Linked DNA regions of Astyanax mexicanus. The protein of the gene in region 2 interacts with the protein of the main gene of each other region in a pairwise test. Links are inferred from orthologs where the notes say so. Each region holds a gene or a part of one and is shown on either strand. Other genes may lie near its edges.

Region 1 (7,422 bases), on a different chromosome or scaffold from region 2:
TGAGGCCTGGCAGCTGTTGGAGAATCTGTGCAAGAAAAGTATGAGCCCCAAGGTTCACCACAGCCATGTGGCAACATCGGCCCAAAGCAGCCTCAGGGTTCTGGAAGGCAACACGAGCTACGGCTGAGACTGCCGAGCTCAGGCTGCTTTTCGCCTGAGCTCCACCCTGAATGATGCTGTTGAAGGCTAGGTTGAGTTCCCCATCGTAGCCTGCTGTAACAGAGCTCGGAAGAAATCCATGTAAGCCTTTCTTGGACAATTTAAGGATTTCAGAAAGTGCTGCATTCTTGTCAGGCAACAGAAGCTGGGAGAAAATGTCCATAATAATGTTTTTCAGTTTTTTAGACTGATTTACGTCAGTATCACCCTGGCTTTTGGCTATAAGAGTAGAAACCAGGGTCATAACCAGGTCTTTTTGCTGGAATGCACTTTTGTTTCGTTCGAGACAGTTCAACCACTCTGTCTCACTGATGGCTTGGCTTAGTTTGGAGGCATAGAGTTTAGGAAGGTCCTGGAAACCCTGCAGATTACAGTCAAGAATGGCTGTAGCAACACTTGCTATTTCAGTTGAGGGGCTTTCAGACATGCTAAAAGATGAGGAAGCTAGCAAATCAGTCAAAGCCTTTTTCAAATTAATCAAGGCCTGTCCATTTTCATCTAGATTTTCAGATTTCATCCGCTCTAAAGCCTCCAGGACTCTTTGCAGACTGTCTTTGAGACGGAATGCGAGGACACTTGGTTCACTTGGTTGGTTGGACATTGTCAGCAATGCCTTTGCTTCCCATGAGCATATTATTCCAAGTAGCGTCTCCATGGCTTGTGCAAAGGTCATTCCGCACGGCTTGCTCTGAGCTGGAGTTAGTGTGGCCGCAAGATCTCTCTGGGCTTCAAATATGGCCTGAGCAAGTTCAGCTCCCTCCAAGACAGAATTCTTCCTTCGCTGGCTTACTGGGCGAGCAATGTTTTGCAGTTTAACTTCAACTGGGAGTTCCACTGCATGATCTAACATGAAGGAAGTATACAGCATGTCTAGGCAGTTGGAGAGACCAAAATAACACAGTCCAGGAGAGGTTATACACTCTTTTATGCTGTTCAGTGTCTCAAACAAAAGAGAAAATATGCACATGTTGGGTACAGCAGCTTCTGGGTCTGGTTTAAATCGCTTTGAAGCCTGAGATGAGCAGTCTGAGGTGATCTGTCCAAATCGTATGCACTGGGCACTAAAGATTTGGTCCAGATTATCCAGCGATTCCCTCCGTCCCTTCATCATCTCCCACCACACCTCCAGCAAGAACTTCACATCCTCCTCTTTGCAATCACTTGAGACATGTTTCGCTAACCTCTCCAGCTCTCTCCACTGCTCAGCTTCTTGAAAGCACTGGAGCAATTCAACATAAATGCTGTAGAAACCCACTGATTTCACCAACTCAAACATAACCACATGGTTTATATCAGGTAGGCTGCTTTGAACAGAAAACAGTGGATTTTCCTTCCACTGGACATCAATATCCTCTCCTGTCTCCATCTCCAAGATCTTGCTCCATACTATACAGAGAATCCTTTTTCTCCAGTTAAGCTGGTCCTGGTTGCCTCCACACCGCTGTCCACATATCTCGGTGACTGCTTGAACTACTGGCCGCCCAACTCGCTCCCAGTCCTCTTTTCTCAAAGCAGAGAGAGGTGCTGGCTGGCACAACTGATTAGCCAGCAGAAACCCACCCTGCAGGACAGCAGTCTTCTCACAGCTCAGCCAGGATTCTGTAGGAAGAAGACACAAAACAAATTCAATTTAATTTAATGTAGATTAGAATCTGTTCTATATTGTACTCTGATACATTCATGACTGCACATCTCACAATCCAAAATAGGCAGCAGATTTGCAATTTTTACAATATCTAACAGGACGTTATGTGATTACCTAGGTACATTCTATGTTTTCAGTCATCAGTTTTATTGGTTTAAAGCATGAATGATTCAGTGCACTAAAACTTACAGATTTACAAAGAGGCAACATTTGTTTTTTAAATCTATAATACAACCAGTTGCTGCCAATTCTTCTACAATTAGAACAAATAAAGTATTGATTACACAAAATAACAGGCTGGTTCTAATGGTGCCAATCTCACCCACAGTAAATGTAAATGTAAAAAATGTAAATACAGTTTCAATGCTGCAAACATAAATATATTTTAGTCTTAAATGTGTCAACATTTCTTGATGAATGTACCACCAGAAATTATCCAATTTACTTCCTTTGAAAGTCAAAAAGGTTTTGTCTCTCTCCTGTACAGCTGCTGTTTCTGAGATTCATGTTTCACATTGACAATTATTGCTTATTATATAGTAATGATTTCACACGAACAACATATGAGGCGTTTCTTTGATTTTACCAAATTAAAAACCTCTGGAATATAATCAACAGGAAGATGGATGATCACAAGCCATCAAACCAAGCTGAACTGCGTGAATTTTTGCACCAGGAATGGCATAAAATTATCGAAAAGCAGTGTGTAAGACTAGTGGAGGAGAACATGCCGAAAAACCAGGGTTATTCCACCAAGTATGATTATGAACTTGTTTTCTTTGCATTATTTGAGATCTGAAAGCTCTGCATCTTTTTTGTTATTTCAGCCATTTCTTATTTTCTGCAAACCATTGCTCTAAGTGACAGTATTCATGTTTGGAATTTGGGAGAAATGTCCGTAGTTTATATAATAAAACAACAATGTTCATTTTACTTAAATATATACCTATAAATAGCAAAATCAGGGAAACTCATTCAGAAACAGTGGTGTATTTACCTTGGTCCATTTTGTTATTCAGCCGAACAGAACCATGTGTTTATTCTTTAGTCCGTTTGGTCACGTGGTTTTCGTGAAGATAATATCGGTTATTTTAACCTACAGTTTAACAGGATTAAACCGGTTATTTACAGCGAGTGTTTTATTTTATCAGCACGAGGACAGAACTGAAGTTTCCCACCGAGAGCTGTTCGTAGGAGCAGAGAACCTTTAGAAACGAGAATACACACTACAGAATCTCTTCCGGTTCGAGCAAAATCAGAGTTTATTAATGTTTAATATTTTTTTTCTGTGAAATGTACTAATTTTCCCTAAAACAGAACAATACTAAATGTTTCTGCAGTGCAGACATGATTTTCAAGCTTATAAACTCTAGTTATAACACTTTAAACTCATTGTTCTGGCTGTATCTCCAGCATCAGCTCTCTAACCAACCGGTCAGCTCACAGTGTAGCATCAACGCTAGCGTGTTTACTCCCCAAAACCTGTTTAGTGTAGAACAACAGACATATATAGATAATTTTAGTTTGCCCTTTTAGCAACATATTTTGTTGTACCTAAATTATATGAATATCCTAGTTAGTTAAAAATAGCTAATTACTATTTTTTACTAAAGTTTTAACCATTTAGCTCCATTCACCCCTATTCATTTTGGACTCGCTCACTGGCTCCCTCTAGCGATTCACATTCATTTTCTACAAAGGAAGTGGGCATGCTCGCCATAAACCGGCTCTTGCAGGAGCAGAAGCTGGTTTGTGTAGAGAGCATGCACACTTTAAAAAAATGACTGTTAAATCTGGAGTCAGCCCGCGAGCGAGTCAAAAATTAATGGGGGTGAATAAAGCTAAAATGCTAAAAAAATACAGTAAAAAATAGAAATTAAGAACTTGCTCAAGATATTTATTTAATTGTAGAAAGTAGAAAGATGCATTATTAAAAAAAAGTAAAGAAAACTTATCTATATTGTTCAGTTTTTCTTCAGTAAACAGGTTTAGGCAGTTAACACTCTAGCATTACTGTGAACTGACTGGTTGGTTAGAGAGCTGATGCTGAATTACCGTCAGAGCACTGAGTCAAAAAGATTTATAAATAGCGATTTAAACCTAAGAGAAAAACATATGAAGGTTGGGCATCCTATAAGGTAATGTTTCCTTATGTCAGTTTGTTAGACACACTCTTGTTGTTGTGTAATTATATATATGCTAATTAAAAGAATACAATTACTGTATCAGTTACTGTATTTCTCTCCTAAATTGTAATTACAAAAGTTCGGCTGTTGTAGTTAATTTTGCCATACAGTTTATTTAAAGCTATTTAAAGTATTGGGATTGTCTGGTCTCCCTACCCTTGTTAAATTGGGTAAATGCATGTGTAATATTTGAAAGATTTATTGCTAATATAAATAAACTATATTACCTGGCACAGCAGTTAGTCTGCGGTATTATTTTACATAAACTTTGCTACTATAACTTTACCTCAGAAAATGTTTCCCCCTTTATGCAGGTTGAAGTGCATTTACTTCTTACACGTACAGTACTAGTGTGCCTTATATTATATATATATATATATATATATATATATATATATATATATATATATATATGTTTTTTAATTTTATTCATACAGTTGTTTACAGCAGAATACAGAGTTAAACTGGAGTGGATTTAATTTACAGTAATTATGCTTATAAACAATTTACAATACCATTTCACCCAGTAACTCTAACACTGTCTGCACCATCTTTACACTGAGAACACGGTGGTTCCCTGTGTAAAGTGGTTCCATGATTGTTTAATAAAACTGGAGTGGATTTGGAGTGTATTTATGAAGTGGCTCCATAGGAACCCATTCATTTTGGACTTACTTTGGAACGCCCCCTGGTGGTTCAACAAACCCAGACAACATTCAGAAGTGCGTAATCTCTCCTCTCTACTAAAGATTCTCTGGTTAGAGTTGCCAGGTTCGTGGTTTTCCCGACAAATTGGGCTTGTTTATAAATCCAGTCGCGGGTAAAACATTTTTCGGGCTACTTTTAAAAATTACCGCGGCCGCCAAAAAACAAACAAAAAAATCTCCATGTAACCAGAAATTACAAGGCGATTTAAAAAAATGTTAAAGAGGAAAAAAGAGTTTTCAGGAAGGGCAAAAACAGAAAAAAGGAAAAGTCAGTTCTTTCTTTTTTTTAGCTAATTATGTTACTATTAAATGTTCTTGACTGGGATATAAAACTGTTATAAAATAACTGATAAAACATCAATGATGTTACAATATTGTTAATGACTTCAAGATAAATAGCACTACTGATAATAAATCCCGTATAAACAAAATACTAAGTCGTGCACTCATAGTTGTTTTGTCATTTGCTTCAAACGTGTGACAAAGCTAGTTTAAGATTCTGAAGGGCGGGTTTTAGACTGACTTTGGGATGGATATTTTTATTGGACCTGGCAACCCTGTCTCTGGTAGGTAAGCATAAGCTTCCCAGACCAATGAGAGCAGAGATGATAGAGAAATCTGTCGGAAGTTTATAACTGGCGCCCTCACGTGGCCAGACTACTGTACATGTACGTGTGTCATTTGTCCACATTAATTTCATACACATGTATATTCCTCTGTCAGTTTGATATGATAGATTAGTATGAATTAATGAATAAATGATTGAGTGAATAAGTGAGTCTGTCTGTTGGTCAGATCTTCCTGAAGCCCCTGTAGATCAGAGGGGTGGGTGTAGGTGTGGGAGGGACTGGGAGCAGCGCTGAATTGAAAGTGAAAGCAGATCAGTGCAGTAGTTACTTTGTTAATTTGCATGGCGGTTTGTTCGCGCTGGAGGTGTCCAGGTGGTCGTGTTTATCATGAGTGTTGTGTTTGGTGGTCTTTTCCTCGCAGTGTTAGCTTCAGGTAAGCTGAAGATGGCTCGAGGTCTGGTTAATGTATGACGTGTCTCATAAAGACACACAGGTGCATATTGAAGGCATGTTTTTCCAGTAGACTCCAGTGTAAGGTGTATAACAATATTATCCGTTTTGATATACATGTAAATATATACTGTACTGTAGGTGTGATGTGTTTTAGGACATTGTTTTCATGTCTAATGTATGTGTCTATGTTTTAATATAATCTAGTGTTAGAATTACTACTTGGGATAAACTTGCTTTCAGTTTTGATTCTCCAGAAGCAGGGGACTTTCTCAACTGAAAATATAAGGCTAGAGCCCCACACACTAATGGTGACCTTCTGCATGCTTGTTTATATTTAGAGATATTATATTTAGAGGTGGCACTGAGAATCAGTATCAGTTTATATGTGACATGCATGTTGAAATACTATGTTGGCAAAAGTGTTGGGACACCTGCTTGTTCATCATGAATTCTGCTTCTGTTGAAGTAACTAGCTAACATTGCTATGAGGATTTTATTGCATTCAGTTTCGAAAGCAGGATGTTGGATGAATGATCACCACCACATCTCATTCACACCCAACTCCCAAGCTTTTTCCCAAAAGTAATGAGTGGAGCACCATCATTCCAGATAACACATTTCAAACACTGCTCCACAGCTTAAAACTAGGGAATTCATTAATGGGCCATTTGTTGTTGTAACTCTTGCTCTTCCAAATGAAACTTATTTTTTTTTATCTTTTTTTCAACTCTGAATCTAATAGCACATATTTAACTATTCAAAACATGTGCTGGTCAATCTCAGACAGCTTTACTTAATTGTTTACAAGGTTTCTGAGGTGAAGATGGTTTCAAACTCATGTGACATTTTAAAATTATGTTTAAGCGCCGAGTGGTCCAGTGGTCTAAAGCGCTGCCACTATGAGCGGTAGGTCGCAGGTTCGAACCCCAGCTCATGCAGCTTTACCATCAAGCTGCCGGCGCTCAGAGGGAGCACAATTGGCCCTGCTCCCTCCGGCTGGGTAGATGGCGCTCTCTCCCCACATCACTCCTACGGTGATCTCCACAGCACAGGGCGTCTGTGAGCTGATGTATCAGAACCGAGTCACTGCGCTTTCCTCCAATCGCGCTGGCTGCTTGGCAATGCTGCATCAGCAGCAGCTCGAAGAGAAGCGGTGGCTGACTTCACATGTATCGGAGGAAGCATGTGTTAATCTTCACCCTCCTGGGGAGAAAATGGGGGAAAAAAAAGTATGTTTTAAAATAAAATACAATTTTTTTTTTTTTTTTTTTAAGTTGACCGGATGTTCAAGTGTTGAGATTGCCCGTCTAAGTCATTGTTACAAAACGATCAAATATACAGCAGAATAAATGAAAACTTAATTATGCCCTTCAAAAGAACCAACTGATGTAATTTCCTGTTGTAGATGTGACTTGTAGAATGTTCTAAATGTTTTAGAAGGGGTAATGTTTTACGGTAACAGGAATGAGTGAAACCCAGGGTTAGTGAATTCGTCCTGATCTCCAATTCCACCCACTATCTTGTTCTCAACTTTAACACACAATTGTGTCAAGTCGGGATGGTGAAGGCTGGCATGGCCTATTAAATGTTAGGTAATTAACACCATGTTGGCTAACATAACACTGAAACCCTGGTCCTGTGGGGGAGAAGGAGGGCCATCCTATGCACCCAGGGAGAGCAAGACTAGTTATAATCTGTTGAAC
Region 2 (7,800 bases):
CTGCTGCTGTTGATGTTGTTGTTGATGGTGGTGGTGGTGATGATGGTGAAGGTGATGATGGTGTTGGTGGTGGCGCGATTGCGGAGACTGTGCCAGCAAGCCCTGCTCCGAAGACGCACTTCCGCTACTGCCGGAACTCCCAGCGCTACCCATGCTGGTGGAGCGGCTAAGGGTGGGCGGCCTGGTGGCTACGGGCCGCGCCTCGTAGTTGTTGTTCACATTGACGAGGATAACCTCGTGAGTCCTCTCGTGTTTGTCACTGACACGGGGTGCCGGGGCGGGAGGCCGGCGTGCCGCCACTGCGGGACCCTCTGTGTACTCGTTAGACGAGCGGATGGCTCGGATCTGCTCCAAGGAGAGGATGGCCCCGGCTGGAAGGTCCAGGTCCAGACGTTCCCCGGGCGCCGGCGGCTCCCGGATCACCGCCACTGATCCGGCGACTCCGCGGTGACCGCGACGATCCATCTGACCTGATCAGCGACTCCCTGCGCAAGCACGGACTCTAGTCTCATCGGACGACCTGTCGGGAAAAGAGAGGGAGAGAAAGAAAGAAAAAGGGAGAGAGATGAGTACAAAAGCTCCAAAGTTCCAAAGTTTATAAAAAAAAGCAGAAAAGCTGAAAAGTCTATACAGTTTAAGAAAATCAACACTGGTTTATGACCTTAAAGAATTAATTGATTTAATGTTACATTAAATTACAGAACAATAAGATGTAAGTTAACAGCAGAATTTCACAGCTCTAGATTGATCAAAGTCTATGAAAGACTGTGACCGTCTGAGAGACTAAGATTAAGCCTCTGAGCCATTAGGTGTTAGACTCTTCAGGTGTGAATCAAATGGATGGTTTCCTACAGTCGTTCACACTTCTCGATTCCCGACTCGCACCTATTCACCAGCTTAACCTCTTCTATACCTTCTATACCTTTGTGTCTCTACTGTCATGCAAAACCCCCGTATCTCCATATTTGACATTCTGCATTTTATTTAGGCTATGTAAATCTGCCACTGATTTTTACATCAATGAAAACAAATCGAATTATAAGAAACTTTTTCTGGCTGTAAAAACCGTTGCTGTTTGGAGATTTAAAGATCAACATGGGATAAATCCACCTACTTTGATAAACATTTTTTTGATAAACTGAGAATATTTTGTACATTAATAGACACTTCTGCAAATCTGATTAGAAGCAAACTAAAGCAAACTGGGTTAATCCATGGGACAAACTGGACTAAACTCTAAAATAAATAAAATCCTCTTATATTATTGTCTTGCTGACTTTGACTAACTTTTTTGCTCAGACTATGGCTTTTCCCTAAATATATTACATTGATAATAAAAGTAATTTACACATTGTCAGCTATGTTGGGAAGCGCAATATATACCAATATATACAATCTTCAGCAGCAGGCTGTTCATGCACATTAATAACACATTAGTAACTCTATTTTACAACAAAAGACTATTATTTATCACGTTTTTGCCAATAGATATTTAGTTAAAGCAAAACTTCAAAGCACTAAACTAAAAAAACATGCTTAAACAAGCCAAAACACTTCTCTCCATATCCAGAATTAACACTTCGCACAATTTTTGCACCTTTTAAAAAGCGCAAATGAAAGAAAAAAACACACACAATGCAACTTAACTTACGCAAAACTTAAAACTTAACTTACGCACCCCCCCCCCCCCCCCCCCGCCACTGCAGGTCGAGGACGAGTCCAAGAGGAAGCGAGGGGAGGAGGGGGGGTAACTTATGAATGAAAACAAGCCCTGTGGGGGGAGGGGTGGGTATTTGGTAGTTACCGCGCGAGGAGGGGTAGTAGAGGGGGGGTAACAGAACTCTGTAGGCTCTAGTCAACCTAGCCTCGAGCCCTCGAGATCGCGTGCATGCATGTGCACTACACAGAATACACACTAACGTTACTCTTTCTAGTGCACACTACTTTTAACGAATAACGAATTGCTAAAAACATTTTTCCCTTGTTTTCGGACAGTTCTGCGTTATAAGCAGCGACGGGAGGGAGTATAGTATAGTGTGTATTCGAGTGCACATGCATTGTGCATTGCAAGCTCGAGGCTACGCACGCACGAGCGTCTGTGAGCTGAGATTCAGATTCAGTTTGCGCACAGACGTTGTTGCGTTGCGCCTTTTATTATTTTTTCGGTGCAACTACAGCAACTGAAGCAACCCAGTAACAAACCCCCCCTTCCCCTTCTCTCTTTCCTCCCTAGAAATGCGTAAACAGGGCACGCGCGTGCATGCACGCGCACGCACGGTCTAAAAAAGACCCTACAAGGGACGTGTTAGTTAGCTAGTTACTTAGTTAGTAGTTAAAATAGTGAAGCACGAGCAGCAGCTACGCACCTACACGCGCTCCTCCGCAGCTCTGACGCCATCAGCCAGTGCGGCTCGCGTGCGTCTCCCAGAATCACGCAGGAAATCTCACGGCGCGCGCGCTGTGTGTCTGGACACTATACATCCATATACAAAAACAGGGGCTCGCGGTACTCCAAGTCCAGTCTTTTCGGTGTGATCCAGGGAAATGACGTTAAATCCAGGAAAACTGATGATAGTAGCGTTCAAAAATATGTATATATAGATATATTCGCAAATATTATCGTTAAAATAAATATTAATAAAAATAACAACAACAATAATAATTGCAGTGATAGTGTCCTTTAGCACGCGCTGCACAGCCGCAAGGAAATCCCAGTTTTAGTCCAAGCACGAGCGCGCAGACGTTAAAAAATAAAAAAAATGTAAAAATGAATTAATAAAACCAAAAAAAATACAACAGAAATCCCTCGTATGTCCTCTCGCGCTCCGTATGAGCCTCGCAGCTGAACGTCACGCGTAAATCCGGGTACTGCGGGTTGTAGTCCGTCCGTTTCGCACGGTAACTTTTTTTTCGTAGCTACGCTTCGTGTTTTGGTGTTTTCGCGTTTTCGCTGTTTTCTCTTCTCCTGCGCGCGTGAAAGATCGCTCGCGCTCTCTCCGCTCCGCGGTAATGAATGGGAGCGCAGCTCCGCCTCGCGCTCTGAAACCGGACACGGCGCATCCGCTCCGCGCCGATTGGCCACGGGCTGCGGGCGGGGCGAGGCGGGGCGGGGTTTAAGGTGGACCGGCGTTAATAACGTGCAGCGGAGCGGCTGATCTTTTACACCCTGCAGATCACTGATCAAACCACTGATTAACAAACTGTTCATCAATACTGATCAGTATTAATCAGCCCTACATAGGAAACTATGTTGAATTAATGTATGCAAAAGCTTCACAAGGTGTGCACTTAATATTTTTATTTTTATATCATTACTGTTATTATTGTCACTTTGCATATAAGTGTGTAACTTTGTTAAACCGAAATAAACTAAACTAAATTGAAATAAACGTTAATTTTTACATCCATAATGCTGATCTCTGCCATCAGAACTGATGTATTTGTGCAAATTGATTCAACATTGATTTTACTCTATGGTTTTATATGTACTTTTTATAATTAACTGCACTTTTTAATTAAATATACATCTTGTTTCTTATAGATTATAGTACTGTGTTACTGCAGTGCAGAATTAGACAATTAAATAATAGTAATGTCTTATAAATATAATACTTACCTACTTAATTACTATTATTATCATTATTTTTAGTATTTAAGAGAATCACCTTTTACCCAAAAGCATTAATGTGAGTGTAGAAGAACTCCAACCACTATTTAAACTAGTTTAAACTAATGAATGCTGATTAAATGTCAGAATTTTAACACTAATTATAGCCAGTGTCTTTTATTAAATACAGGCAATTCTAACAATCAGTACTGATAACACTAACTGTAGATCATAACTGATATTATCATAACGAATCCATTCAGATTAATACTAATCTTTTTTATCACTATTCATTCACTTTAGCATGCATATTTACTACTGATCAATACTGATCTCTATTACTACTACTGATAAGTTTATGTCAGTAATAACTAGTGTACTTCTGCACCACTGATCAATACGGATTAATATCAGCGTCTACATTCAGTTTATAGACACTACTGAACTATCGTTACTGATCAATACTGATCTCTATTATCTAGACTAATCAATTATACAGTCTGTCTGATCAGCACTGATCAATACTTCTTCTGATAGTTTCTAATCAGGACGCGGGGTTAATCCTGCAGGCGAGCTGTGAGCTGTGTGTGTGTGTATGTGTGTTAAGGGGGGGTTAAACCCATTGTAAACATGCACGCGCGGCTCCACCTTAAGAAGCGCGAGGAGCCCCCGTGCCCCACAATCTGACCGCGCGGATGCGCCACATCCGGCTCCTGCTGAAAAAGGGGAAGTTCAGCACAGAGTCAGGAGGGGGAGGGGCCACCAGTACAGGCCTGCAGTTATATATAGATATACACCTCTACCTTTATATATATACACCTACTGTATATACACCTCTACTGGTATATACTCACCTACTGTTATATATTTCCCTACTGTATATACACCAAATACTTATATATATACACCTCTACTGTTATATACTTTTATATAAACGTCTACTTTTAGACATACACCTACTGTTATATACTCCTATTATATAAATAGCAGTACTCATATATACATCTACTGATATATATATATATGCACCTACTGTTATATACTCTTCTACTTTTATATATACACCCCTACTGTTATATATACACCAATATTCTTATATACCCCTAGTGTTATATACACCTCTATTGTTATATACACCAATACTCTTATATATACAACTATTGTCATATAAAACTCTACTTTTATATATAATCCTACTGTTATATAAACCTCTACTACATATACCCCTGTTGTTATATACACCAATAGTCTTTCACTTACTAGTCTCTTACCTATTCTCTTAAATTGGATATATCCAGGTGGTCCTGTCTATACTGTATATAGACAAATATATATATACATTATACATATATCTGTATGTTTAATCTGTCATTACAGCACATGCTATGCTAATTGCACTAGCTGATACTTTTATTTTAAGCTTTTTTTTTGCTCTTTTTTCAGTTTTAGTTTTACAGTGTTTGTTTTTAATCAGCTGTATATTTATGCTCTGAGGAGAAGTTCTGCTTTGTGTGTCTCTCAGGATCAGAGCCGGCAATAAATTAATAAAGCTGAAAAGTGCACGGCTATAAAACTCCCAATTTGTGATCAAATAAAACTTTTTATGGAGCCCGTAATTCATCGGAGGCCGGATGAGTTCTGCAGGTCCAAGATCCATTTCCTCCGAGTAAACAATTTAACAACAGCACAGGACGGGAGGAGGAGGGGGGGGGGGGGGGGTGTTTATTTAATCTGCTGACGTGGGACGCTGGTACAGACCAACACAGACAATAAAGAAGCTCCATTTATTATCAGTTAATCAGTTCAGATCCTACAGGGGGTAGAAGAGTCTTTATACTGGGGGGCGCTGGCCCCCTCGGCCCCCCCGTCAGCAGAAGGGCCGGGTGCCGTGATGCTGCTGCTGGTAGGAGATGTAGGTCTGAATGAGGGATTCTGGGACTCGTGGTTTAATAGCAGACAGGGCGGAGTCAAAGTGCCGGTCGGTGATGTGCTCGGCTTTAATGTCCTCCTGAAGGGCGAAGAGTGCAGCTTCACGACACACTGCAGTTATCTGATAAACAGAGAGAGAGACAGAGAGAGAGACAGAGAGAGACAGAGAGAGAGAGAGTATTTATTTATCATTCGTGGATCTTAGATATTATACGATCTTTATACATAATAATACTTACAGTAAGAGTAAATACTCAAAATACAGAAAAAATTACAAATCAAAACAGAACAAAACATTTATCAATATTTATAATTTGTTCAAAATCTTTTATGATGTGTTTTTAAAAGATGTTGGCAGCAATCCTTATTTATATAATCATATTAAATACATTACATATAATGTCAACTTTATAGGAATGGAATATTAGCCCCCACAGTGCTGAATGTAGAAATATCTGATCCCCACATTGTAAAATCTGAGGATATTCAGTCCCCACAATGTTAAGTTTAGACACATTCAGTCCCCACAGTGTCGAAATGTAAGAATACCCAGTCCTCATAATATTCAGTTTAGGTATATTCAGTCCCCACAATGTTGAAATCAGGGATTTTTAGTACCTACAATGTCATACAGGAATATTAAATCACCACAAAGTCAGATTTAGGTATATTCAGTCCACACAACATTAAAATGTAGGTATATTCGGTACCACAGTAAAAAAGAAAGTTCGAATATTAGTCCCCAAAATGTCAAATTATGCCTGTATTAAAGTTAGGGATAGTTAGTCTCCAAAATTTCAAAATGTAGGAATTGTCATCAATCCTGATCAAAATTTATGAATATTTATTCCCCTACAAGGTCAAGTTTAGAAATATTCAGTCCTTACAATGTCAAAATCTAGGGATATTTAGTCTCTACAATCATATTTAAGAACATTTGGTCCCAATAATGTCAAAACATATGGCTTTTTAATCCCTGAAAAATGTTAACCCACTCTGGGATCAGTTTTAAGGAACATTTTTGGACTCTGGTTTTATTTGGACACTGAAGAACGATCCTTTATCTACACTGGACACCCATAAAGATTCCACCTGTTACCTGTTTACGCTCTCAAGCAAAACTCCAGGCAGAATAAGAGTCCTGGATGAGCGTAATCACCCTGAAATATTTCATGAATGCTTTTCATAATTTGACCAATAATGCTGTATAGTTTGCTGTGGGTAAATATGTCAGCCACATGACTAATCACAGAGACCTGCAGGCCTGCAGCTCAGCGGAACACGCCGTCTTATTCCACTGATCAGAACGCAGATGCAGTGGCATGGCACCATGCCCCGACCACAAATTAGCACAGCCTTCAGTTTTTTTTAAAGATTACACACCCACCTGTGTGCTAAAATATTTCCAGTAATTACAGGTAACTATTTTTACACCACAGAACCAACTCTGCACTCGAGAACCGTTCTGCAGAACTGTGCATTTTAACAACAGAAACTGCAACAATTTACACTTAAAACTAACAGTTTAAATATAAAATTACATATATTATATATAAAGAAGATAAAAGTGATCAGGATCAATAAATTATTAGAAATTTAGGCTGATATTTATGGTATAATACCCCTACCCCACAATTTGCAGCTACTGTGCATAGAATATACTGGAGTTATTATGGGATGGATAATGACAGGAGGAACATTAGGAACCTCTACAACTCTCTACTACATGCTGAGACATCTGTTATGTTGCAGCGTTACACATCTGTTACACAAACACTACTATACTATTATATTGTGTAGATCAATAAATATTACCCTAAATATCAGAATAAATTTATAATCATTTATTGATCCTGATAATTTTTATCTTTCTTCTGAACAGAATTACAATTGCAAACTTCCCTCTGGGTGCAGATATTTTATCTTAAAACATAATATTTAGTGTGAGTGGCCAGTTATATATATATATATATACTTATATATTTATATTTATATATATATGAACAGCACACACAGGTCCACCACTCTCCCCTCTCTCTCTCTCTCTCTCTCTCACTTTTTCTCTCCGTGTCACACGAGAGATAGATCGCTTCCTCTGGAGCAGAGAGACCCAATGATTATGCAAGAGAGAAAAAGAGAGAAAGAGAGAAAGAAGGAGAGAAAGAAAAAGAGAGAGAGAAAGAATGGGCGAGTGAGGGAGCCTCTGGAGTTCATCAATGTTTTCTCTCTCTCTCGCGCTCCACTCATTTTCGGATGTGACTCAT
Region 3 (7,980 bases), on a different chromosome or scaffold from region 2:
TGATATGCACAGATATTATAAACATAGTAGTAGTTGCCAGTAGCACACGGTTAATTTGCTAGTGTTAAATTAATACTGTTCGTGTTAGATTAACACTGTGGTTCTTACAATTTAACACCCGCAGTGTGAAATGAACATAAACGCTGTTAATTTAACACCCTTTAAAAGCTAAGGTCCTTCACTTTGAACTCATGAAGTTTCTAAGCGACATATAGCTACTGAACATCCTGACAGCATCACTACAGGGCAGTGTGTTAATGTGCGTTCATTTATCTGACCTTATTTAGTTAGCTACAAAATGTAGGTGTGCCTGGTTAGTATTTGAGATAAAAGTAGCTCTCTTTTTTTAAAGTGTACTTTTTATTGTTACTGATCTGTTCTAAACATTTAACAATACAAATGTTTTAAATGAATGTTAGTTTTATGTTTCGTATAACTAGTTCTGATATGCTTGCTAGAACAAAATGTTAAAATAAAAAGTTATGAAAATGCTGTTAAGTGTAATTTGTGCAACATCAAGGTTTTAAGCTTAAAATATTAACAGTCATGTTATGTGGCCACCATAAGAAAAAACATGAATGAGCTGCTCACTGAATTTATCTGATTTAATTTTGAATTTGGCATCAATATTCAGAAATGGGTCTGGGCTCTTATTGGTTAATTATGATAAGAGCTGAAATCAACAATAATAGTGTTAATACCATTAATTAGTCACTTGATTTGTTGCTCGTGCTAGTGAGTCTAGACGTCATTAGTGAGTGGGACTGTAGATTATAAACAGTGTTTCAGCCTGTGGGCTTTTGAAACCCCCCGGTGTGCTGGCTCAGCACTAAAGACCCTCAATCCTTCAGTATCTCAGCGCTTAATCAAACACACGGGCTGGCCTGCAGCATGACGTCATGCTCTGTTGCAGAGCGCGTGTTTTTACTGAAAAAAAAACAAAGAAATTTACAAACGCGATAAGATAACTATACTGTAGAGCGAGCGAGATTCAAAGCGACGCAGATCTAAACGCAGTGGGACAGACAGGAAGACATGCATGCATGCAGACAAACAGACAGACAGACAGTGGGTTGCTAGACTGCTGGCTGTCAGCTCGCGCTGTGTCTGCCCCTCCTGCGGGACAGAGCAGCAAAACCCGGGGGGTCTTTCATATCAAAGGCGGCACGAGCACACAGTGAAGGCAAGGAAGCATGTGCACGCGCGGCGCGGATCAATGAATGGGTACAGGTCCCAGAGAACCCGCGCGCACCAGTTGCATGTGCCTGCACGGAACACCACAATATGCAGCAGCAGCGGCAGAAGCGTGCATGCAGCTGCTGTCACCACGCGCGCGCAGGAAAAGAGCAAGAGCGCGAGCCCGGCCGACCGGGACAGACACAAACAAACAAGCACGCGAGTGAGCGTGCTCATATTGGTGCAACATGGGCTAGGTGGCTTTCATGTGGGCATGGGCTAGAAATAAGTTTGTAGCAGCACGTGTTTTGGGCTACTTTGTTCCCAAATGGGCCATATCACACAGTCCGACCACCTTAGTGTCATATGGGTCTCATCCACGCTCCATGTGCATGCAACCCAATGTACAACCCAGATTAAGCCCACGTTTAACCAACCCCTACAGGTCCCATCACTGACATCCACATCCAATGTTCATGAGCCAGTATGAAAAAAAAAAGCCTACGAACAAAACTTGCCGGGTCCATTAAGCTACCCATACAGACCACCACATATGCATGTTAACTATCTGGGCACCGGTTCTCTGACGAGGGCAGCAGCAAGAACTTCAGTGACATAAACTTCAAAACAACAAAGCAAAGTTTAGCCAGCTGGCACATGACCGACCTTCAAAGTTGAAATAGTTAAAATAATGTCAGCTGTATCAACTTGTTATTAGTGGAATGTTTTTGTCGTATCAATATGATCATTATTATGTTTTTAACATCTTATTGTTATATTTTGACTGTATGACTTAATAGAAAGAAAATATCTACATTCAAGAGTTTTAAAAAATAGAGAACATGTTTAAAATAATTTCTATGAAAAGGTTAATAAGTGACATAAATCAATGTTGAAATTTTAACTTGGAACATCACTCAACGTGATGTATGTATCTTGTAAATATGATCATTATTATGACTGTATCACCACTTTATTACATTTTGATCACAAGATAAAATATTTAAACTCCAACTAGAAAGTAAATAAAGTGTGTGAACAAACTTGTCAACGTTTTTTTTTACTTGTTCTGCTTCCATCTGAGGAACCTTTTCATCAACATGCACAGTTTTTCATGGTGTTCATTGTTCTGTACATACAGAACTACTGTTTTTAGTAAACCTTCTATCGAACCACCATACTTTTGGAAAGAATAGGGAAAGTTTTTTTTGGCTAGAGTTTAGTTAATGTTTAAAAAAAAAGATAAGATGTCAAAACAATGTTTCAGCACCAACACTGATTTATGTTTCAGAATCAAAACGGTGATATGAACTTAATATGACGCTGACGTTTATTCAACGTTGATAAACGCAGAAATGCCGGTTGGAGATCACGGCACGAGCTCCTGCTGTTTCTGCTGTTGCTCCTCATGCAAACAAACACGCGCGAGCGAACACAAACCTGTTACTTGCAGCTAAACTTCACAAAGGAACGTTTTCAAACGTTCAAAAAACTCGGAGCACCAAACGACAACGTCAGGGAAAAAAACATCCCCGGGACGCATCAAAGCACAAAAGCAACTTGTCACCCGCGCTCGAGCTCCAGAGCACGGACGGCCATCATCACCGCCAACGGCACGAGCTCAAGTTCACGCAGCCCGCGAGCGTGCGTTTGTTTTTTCTCTTCTTTTCTTTCCCCTCTTTCTTTCTCTCTTTCTCTCTGTTTCTCCTGCAGCAGAAAAGTCTACACACAGTTCACAGCAGCAGCCTGGAGACTTACCACAGCAGCGCGGAGAAGATGCAGCGCCTTTCTGAAGGAACCACGCTGGACTGAGGAGAGATTACAATACGAGCTATTTACAGAAGCATTACATCACCCTCCGGTGACGTCACGTGGGATTCCTGAACTTCTAAATCATTGCGGTCCGCGAGGAGGGGCTTCGTGGAAACGGGGCGGGGGTTGAGGGATGTGGGCGGGGTCGAGGAGGAGCCGCAACACTCACAGCTCACAGCTGGCTGAGTTCAGGCTGGAGATAGTAGGATACTTCTTGCAGGACATTGAGTTTTAAAGTACTTTAAAGTGAAAAATAGACGACTCATATCACTTACGGATCAAACAATTAATTAAATGATAAAAAATAAAGAAAGAATAATAATTATAATAAAATGTCTTAATGCAAATACTGCAAACATTTTTACATTAAAAAAAACATTAAAGTTTGTATTATTGTCATTAGGACCTGTACTGTCTGTAATGGGTGTTAGCACTTTTTACTCAAGTTTAACTGGACTCCAAAATGCTCCAAGTGTCACCTTCTCGTCTGGTTTTGCGTCTCTCTGGTTTATTTACCCTCCTCTGCACATGCCCTGTCTTTATTCTGTGTCTCCGCCCCTGTTGCTCACATGTTCATTTTTCGTTTTTTAGCTCTGCCCCCTTGTTACCCGGTCCCAGGTGTTTTTTATTTGTATTTTTTGTCCATTTGCATTTATAGTCTCCCTTGTCCCAGTGTTATTTGTCTTTGGTTGTACATCTAATGTCATTCAGGTTTCGTGGTCCTATGTTATCTATGTGATCAGTGTTTCCTTTAGTTTCTGTTTTTTTATTTCTTTATTCCTTTGATTTTAATAAATACTTGCATGTCTCATTCCTGCTCCCAACCGTGACACCAAATTATCAAGTGATTTAAACCAGAGCAAAATAATATAATCATAGCATAAAAAGTGAGAAAATTTGTGTTTGGTAGATTATTTCATTGGAAAGCATGTTAATTTCATGCATGTTAGTCTCTACTTGGGATGCAAACTTTTCTGTCTGTCCCTGAAACCCCTTATTATATGGAACCTGGCCTTCAGTTTGAAAATGCTACCAGGGATCACTTCAAATAATGCTGCAACTTGTTTTTGCGGAACACCAGTTTGAAGTTGAAGCCCTATTGCACTGGTCCTATCCACATCTGTCAAACGTAGCAAGCTGATTCTTGGAGCAGATACCTACTGACCACTATAGCAGTGCCCAGGCTCACTGGTGCTGCCAATAAGGTGCCAATCAGGCTGTACCAGAAGCTCAAAATAAGTGTCAAAAGCAACAGCAATATAAGCTGTTTGGCAATGGCAGAGAAGATTTGGCAAATTTTTCTTAATCTCAAACCCACATACTCAGCTCTGCTGTTCATCTCACAAATGCATGTTTCTTACAAATGTGGCAGCATTTAAATTTATAATTAACAGTATTTTCAATGATATGGAAGAAGCATAAGAAGCATTGTTACAACAAAGAAATAATCTAACAAACACAAATTTCCTTAATTTTGTGCTATGTTTTATTATAAACTTATGTACAGTACAAGTCAAAAGTTTCCACACCTTCTTATTCAATGTTTTTTTTCCTACATTGTAAATTAATATTAAACTCATCCATACTATGAAGGAACACATAATGAACCATGTAGCAAACTTAATGTGTTAAACAAAACCAAATACTCTGTGAAGCTTTTATGTGGCCTCCTCAAGTAGTTATTTAAATTACCTAAAGAGTTAATATAATTAACCCTTGACAAAGCACAGCTGTTACCTGAAAGCCATTCCAGGTGACAACCTCATAAACCTGACTGAGAAAATATCAAGATGTGCAAAGTTGTCATCTAAGCAAGAGATGCCTATTATTAACTGGTTAGTACCGGCACATTTTGAGCACTAATCAAAAAAAAAATTGAAAGACATAGCAAATTAATACAATAGTCATACACCTCCAACTGCATTCCTGTTAAAGCACATATTTCTGTCACTGGAACTCTAAACCATGTAGTAATGAGATAAGTATTTAATAAAATATATAAGTATATAATACATTTGATTTACAATATTATAATAGATAATTATATTCCAGTACTGTCTTAGTCTGATTACAGATGAATAAATGGATTTTATTGCTGTACCTTTCTAGGGGAGGGATATATTAGGTAGTTGTGTTAGAAGCAGGGCAATCATAAGGATCATCATAATGATCTGAGCCACTGTGCATTTATTGTGATGGCTACAAAACTTGGTTAGAGCATCTCCAAAACACCAGGCAGGTCTTGTGGGCTGATCCCTGTATGCAGTGTTCACACTACCCAAAAAAAGTGACAAACACATACTAAGTAGTGGTTTTAATATTATGGCTAACTGGTTTGTTTGTGTAGTTAACTACTGTAGTTGTTATAATGTCCTATCAATTTAATGGGCTGGGAACAAATTCACCAAAAAGCCAGTTCTTTGATTCCAGGCATTTGGGAATCGACATTCAACTCTAGAGCTTTAAACACGATTCCACCAAGAGAGCTGTACTCACACACAGAGCCGTTTTCACTGCCACTGTCTAGACAGCCTGTCTGAAAACGCGTCCTTCCACAACACACATATCAATAAATTGGCTATATTTAACCTTGGGCAGAGCATAAAAGTACAACAGTGGCTAACAATATAATGTCACAAGTGCTGAAACGTTTACTCTTCTAAAGGAACTGACAGAAGTATTAGACGCAGTCTAGCCACAATGGTCTGCAAATATTTGGACTCCCCATGGTCAAAATTCGAGTTACTGGAAATAATTCAGTGACATAAAGGTGAGCTGATCTCCAAATAGCATAAAGATTGCGAAGAAATATTCTTCTTGACATTTTTAATAAGATTTGTTCATTACTTTTATTATAAGAAAGGAGCACCATGTGGGTTAACTTGTTAAGAGTGGTGGTTTATACACAATAACTGTTGGAAATATGACAATGATGGAAATATGATGATGGAAATATGTACACAAAACTAGAAAAGGATTATAAATATATAAAAACACCAAAAAGTACAAGTATGGAAGAGCAAGAAAACTTTCAAAGAGAACTACATAACTGACATGAACTGTGATTCTTTCCTATGTCTTGATTTTTTTAATTGAAAAACTTTTTTGGGATTGACTGTCAGAACAAAAAGTAGATGCTGCGAGATTTATAAATTCTAACCCATGTGTTGCCATGCACAACTTTTAGTCCTTCTATTGATGATCAAGTTCTGACCACAAGAACAAGAGAAAAAAAAATAGGGTTTAGGTCATTTAGGATCATTGCTCTACTTGTAGAAAACATCATCTTTTTATCTGTAAGGAGGACCACTGTTATAGTGTGTTATGCAGCAATAGTACTAGAATTACTTTAAATGATGCTGTCTCCAGTTTATCTGACACACACACACACACACACACACACACACACACACACACACACACACTGGTACACTCTTGCACTTGGGGCATTTTTGGTTTCATCCCCTGGTCAGCAGGCCAGCGTGACTAATTGTGCCAGGCTCACCAGTGTCTCAGTTCATACTAAATAATGGAAGTGCCAGTGGGTAAATAAATTATTGGCAGGATTATGTCTGCCCGCAAGTGTTGGATTTAGAAGATGGTGTTACAGAATCAAAGCTGTGACTTCTTTGCCCTGAGATAATTTCCAAGCAGACGTAATATGATGCAGGTAACATCGTAACACAGTCGTACCACACGGTACCTTATTTATGAAAAGGAAGTGCTTTATCATACCTTTAAAAACATGTGTTCTCTGTTTAAAGGTAAGAATACCCAATAATAATGTTTATTAATCACTATACACTGCACTATACATACAGTGTACACATCTACGTTATTAGACAAATTATGACAGTTACACTTTTAAAATAATTAATAAACATTTAATCACAGAACTATACCACATCTAATTTACCTGTTGTATATGTTAAATATATTATGTGCTGAGCTGAAGATGTATGAAGATAATCTGTGCTAATTAAAATACAATATATAACAATAAATAAATATGAATAGAGCACGCACCTGAAGCTGACAGTAGAACCAATGTTAATAAATAAAATAATGATACATTTCTTACCTTATTCATATTACACAAAGGTCTAAATACCCATAGTGTAGAGAGGTAAAGTAATATGGCAAGTTTTGATACTGATCTTCAAGGTCACCGCAATAGTGATACTGCTGTAACTTGATAATGTAAAAAACAGTCTGTAGCTCTTTTTAACTGGCACAGGTTTGCTTTGCACAAGGTTAAAGAAAGGATATCACTGTTACCGTGGAATAAAAAAGGCAAAATCTTCACCCTTCACCATTCAACAGTGGATTCAGGGTCCTGCTTAAATGCATTGAGAACGTTAACTATGAACAGTTCTAATAAAATTGCACATTTACAGTTTTTATCTTACTTTTATTTTGTCTGTTCAGCTTCATTTTATTTGTTAATATACACCCCTTCCTGCTCTTTAGGCCTGAAACACACTCCAAAAAAAGTTGGAACCGGAGAAATTGGGGTATAGTAAAGAAGAAAAACTAACTAATTATGTGGTTTCAATCAGGTGATGTAAACAGGAGATTATAATCAAGATTTAGTAGGAAAGCAGTATCCACAAAGAGCTGTTTGCTCTTTGAGGAGCAAATATAGGCAAAGGATCTCCAAATTGTAACAAATGCATAAAAAGAGTATTGAAATGTTTAAAAACAACATTTCCCTAGACATACTGGAAGAGATCTGAAGATTTCTTCCTCTGCAGTGCATAATACCATTGCATGATTCAATCAATCATGAGAAATTTCAATGTGTAAAGGGCAAGGGCACAAGTCTATACTGAATCTAACTGAGCTTTGATCCCTCAGATGGCACTGCATCCAGAATTGTAAATGAACAACAATAGTCATGCAATGTCAAGGTATTGCTTAGACAACTCGTTGTGAAGCAATACAATACAGAGTTACATGTTCCCAAAAGGCACTTTAAACCATACTGTGCAA

What was found.
Region 1: the proteins of spry1 (region 2) and gemin4 interact in binary tests that used the Homo sapiens proteins (3 or more experiments, as listed by UniProt). The link is inferred for Astyanax mexicanus from reciprocal best matches to the Homo sapiens genes SPRY1 and GEMIN4.
Region 3: the proteins of spry1 (region 2) and creb5b interact in binary tests that used the Homo sapiens proteins (3 or more experiments, as listed by UniProt). The two-hybrid records come from large-scale screens. The link is inferred for Astyanax mexicanus from reciprocal best matches to the Homo sapiens genes SPRY1 and CREB5.

The regions. Positions count from the first base shown.
Region 1 is NC_064425.1:16,114,974-16,122,395, reverse strand, and holds the start of gemin4 (gem-associated protein 4), read right to left. Parts: upstream 3,017-7,422; 5' UTR 2,812-3,016; coding exon 2,802-2,811; intron 1,759-2,801; coding exon 1-1,758. Other genes in the region: dhrs13b.2 (tapasin-related protein), read left to right, coding at 5,654-5,699. UniProt on the Homo sapiens protein: The SMN complex catalyzes the assembly of small nuclear ribonucleoproteins (snRNPs), the building blocks of the spliceosome, and thereby plays an important role in the splicing of cellular pre-mRNAs.
Region 2 is NC_064426.1:1,107,196-1,114,995, forward strand, and holds the start of spry1 (protein sprouty homolog 1), read right to left. Parts: upstream 3,024-7,800; 5' UTR 2,367-3,023; intron 521-2,366; 5' UTR 466-520; coding exon 1-465. UniProt on the Homo sapiens protein: Inhibits fibroblast growth factor (FGF)-induced retinal lens fiber differentiation, probably by inhibiting FGF-mediated phosphorylation of ERK1/2. Inhibits TGFB-induced epithelial-to-mesenchymal transition in lens epithelial cells.
Region 3 is NC_064413.1:42,689,154-42,697,133, reverse strand, and holds the start of creb5b (cyclic AMP-responsive element-binding protein 5), read right to left. Parts: upstream 3,008-7,980; 5' UTR 2,935-3,007; intron 1-2,934. UniProt on the Homo sapiens protein: Binds to the cAMP response element and activates transcription.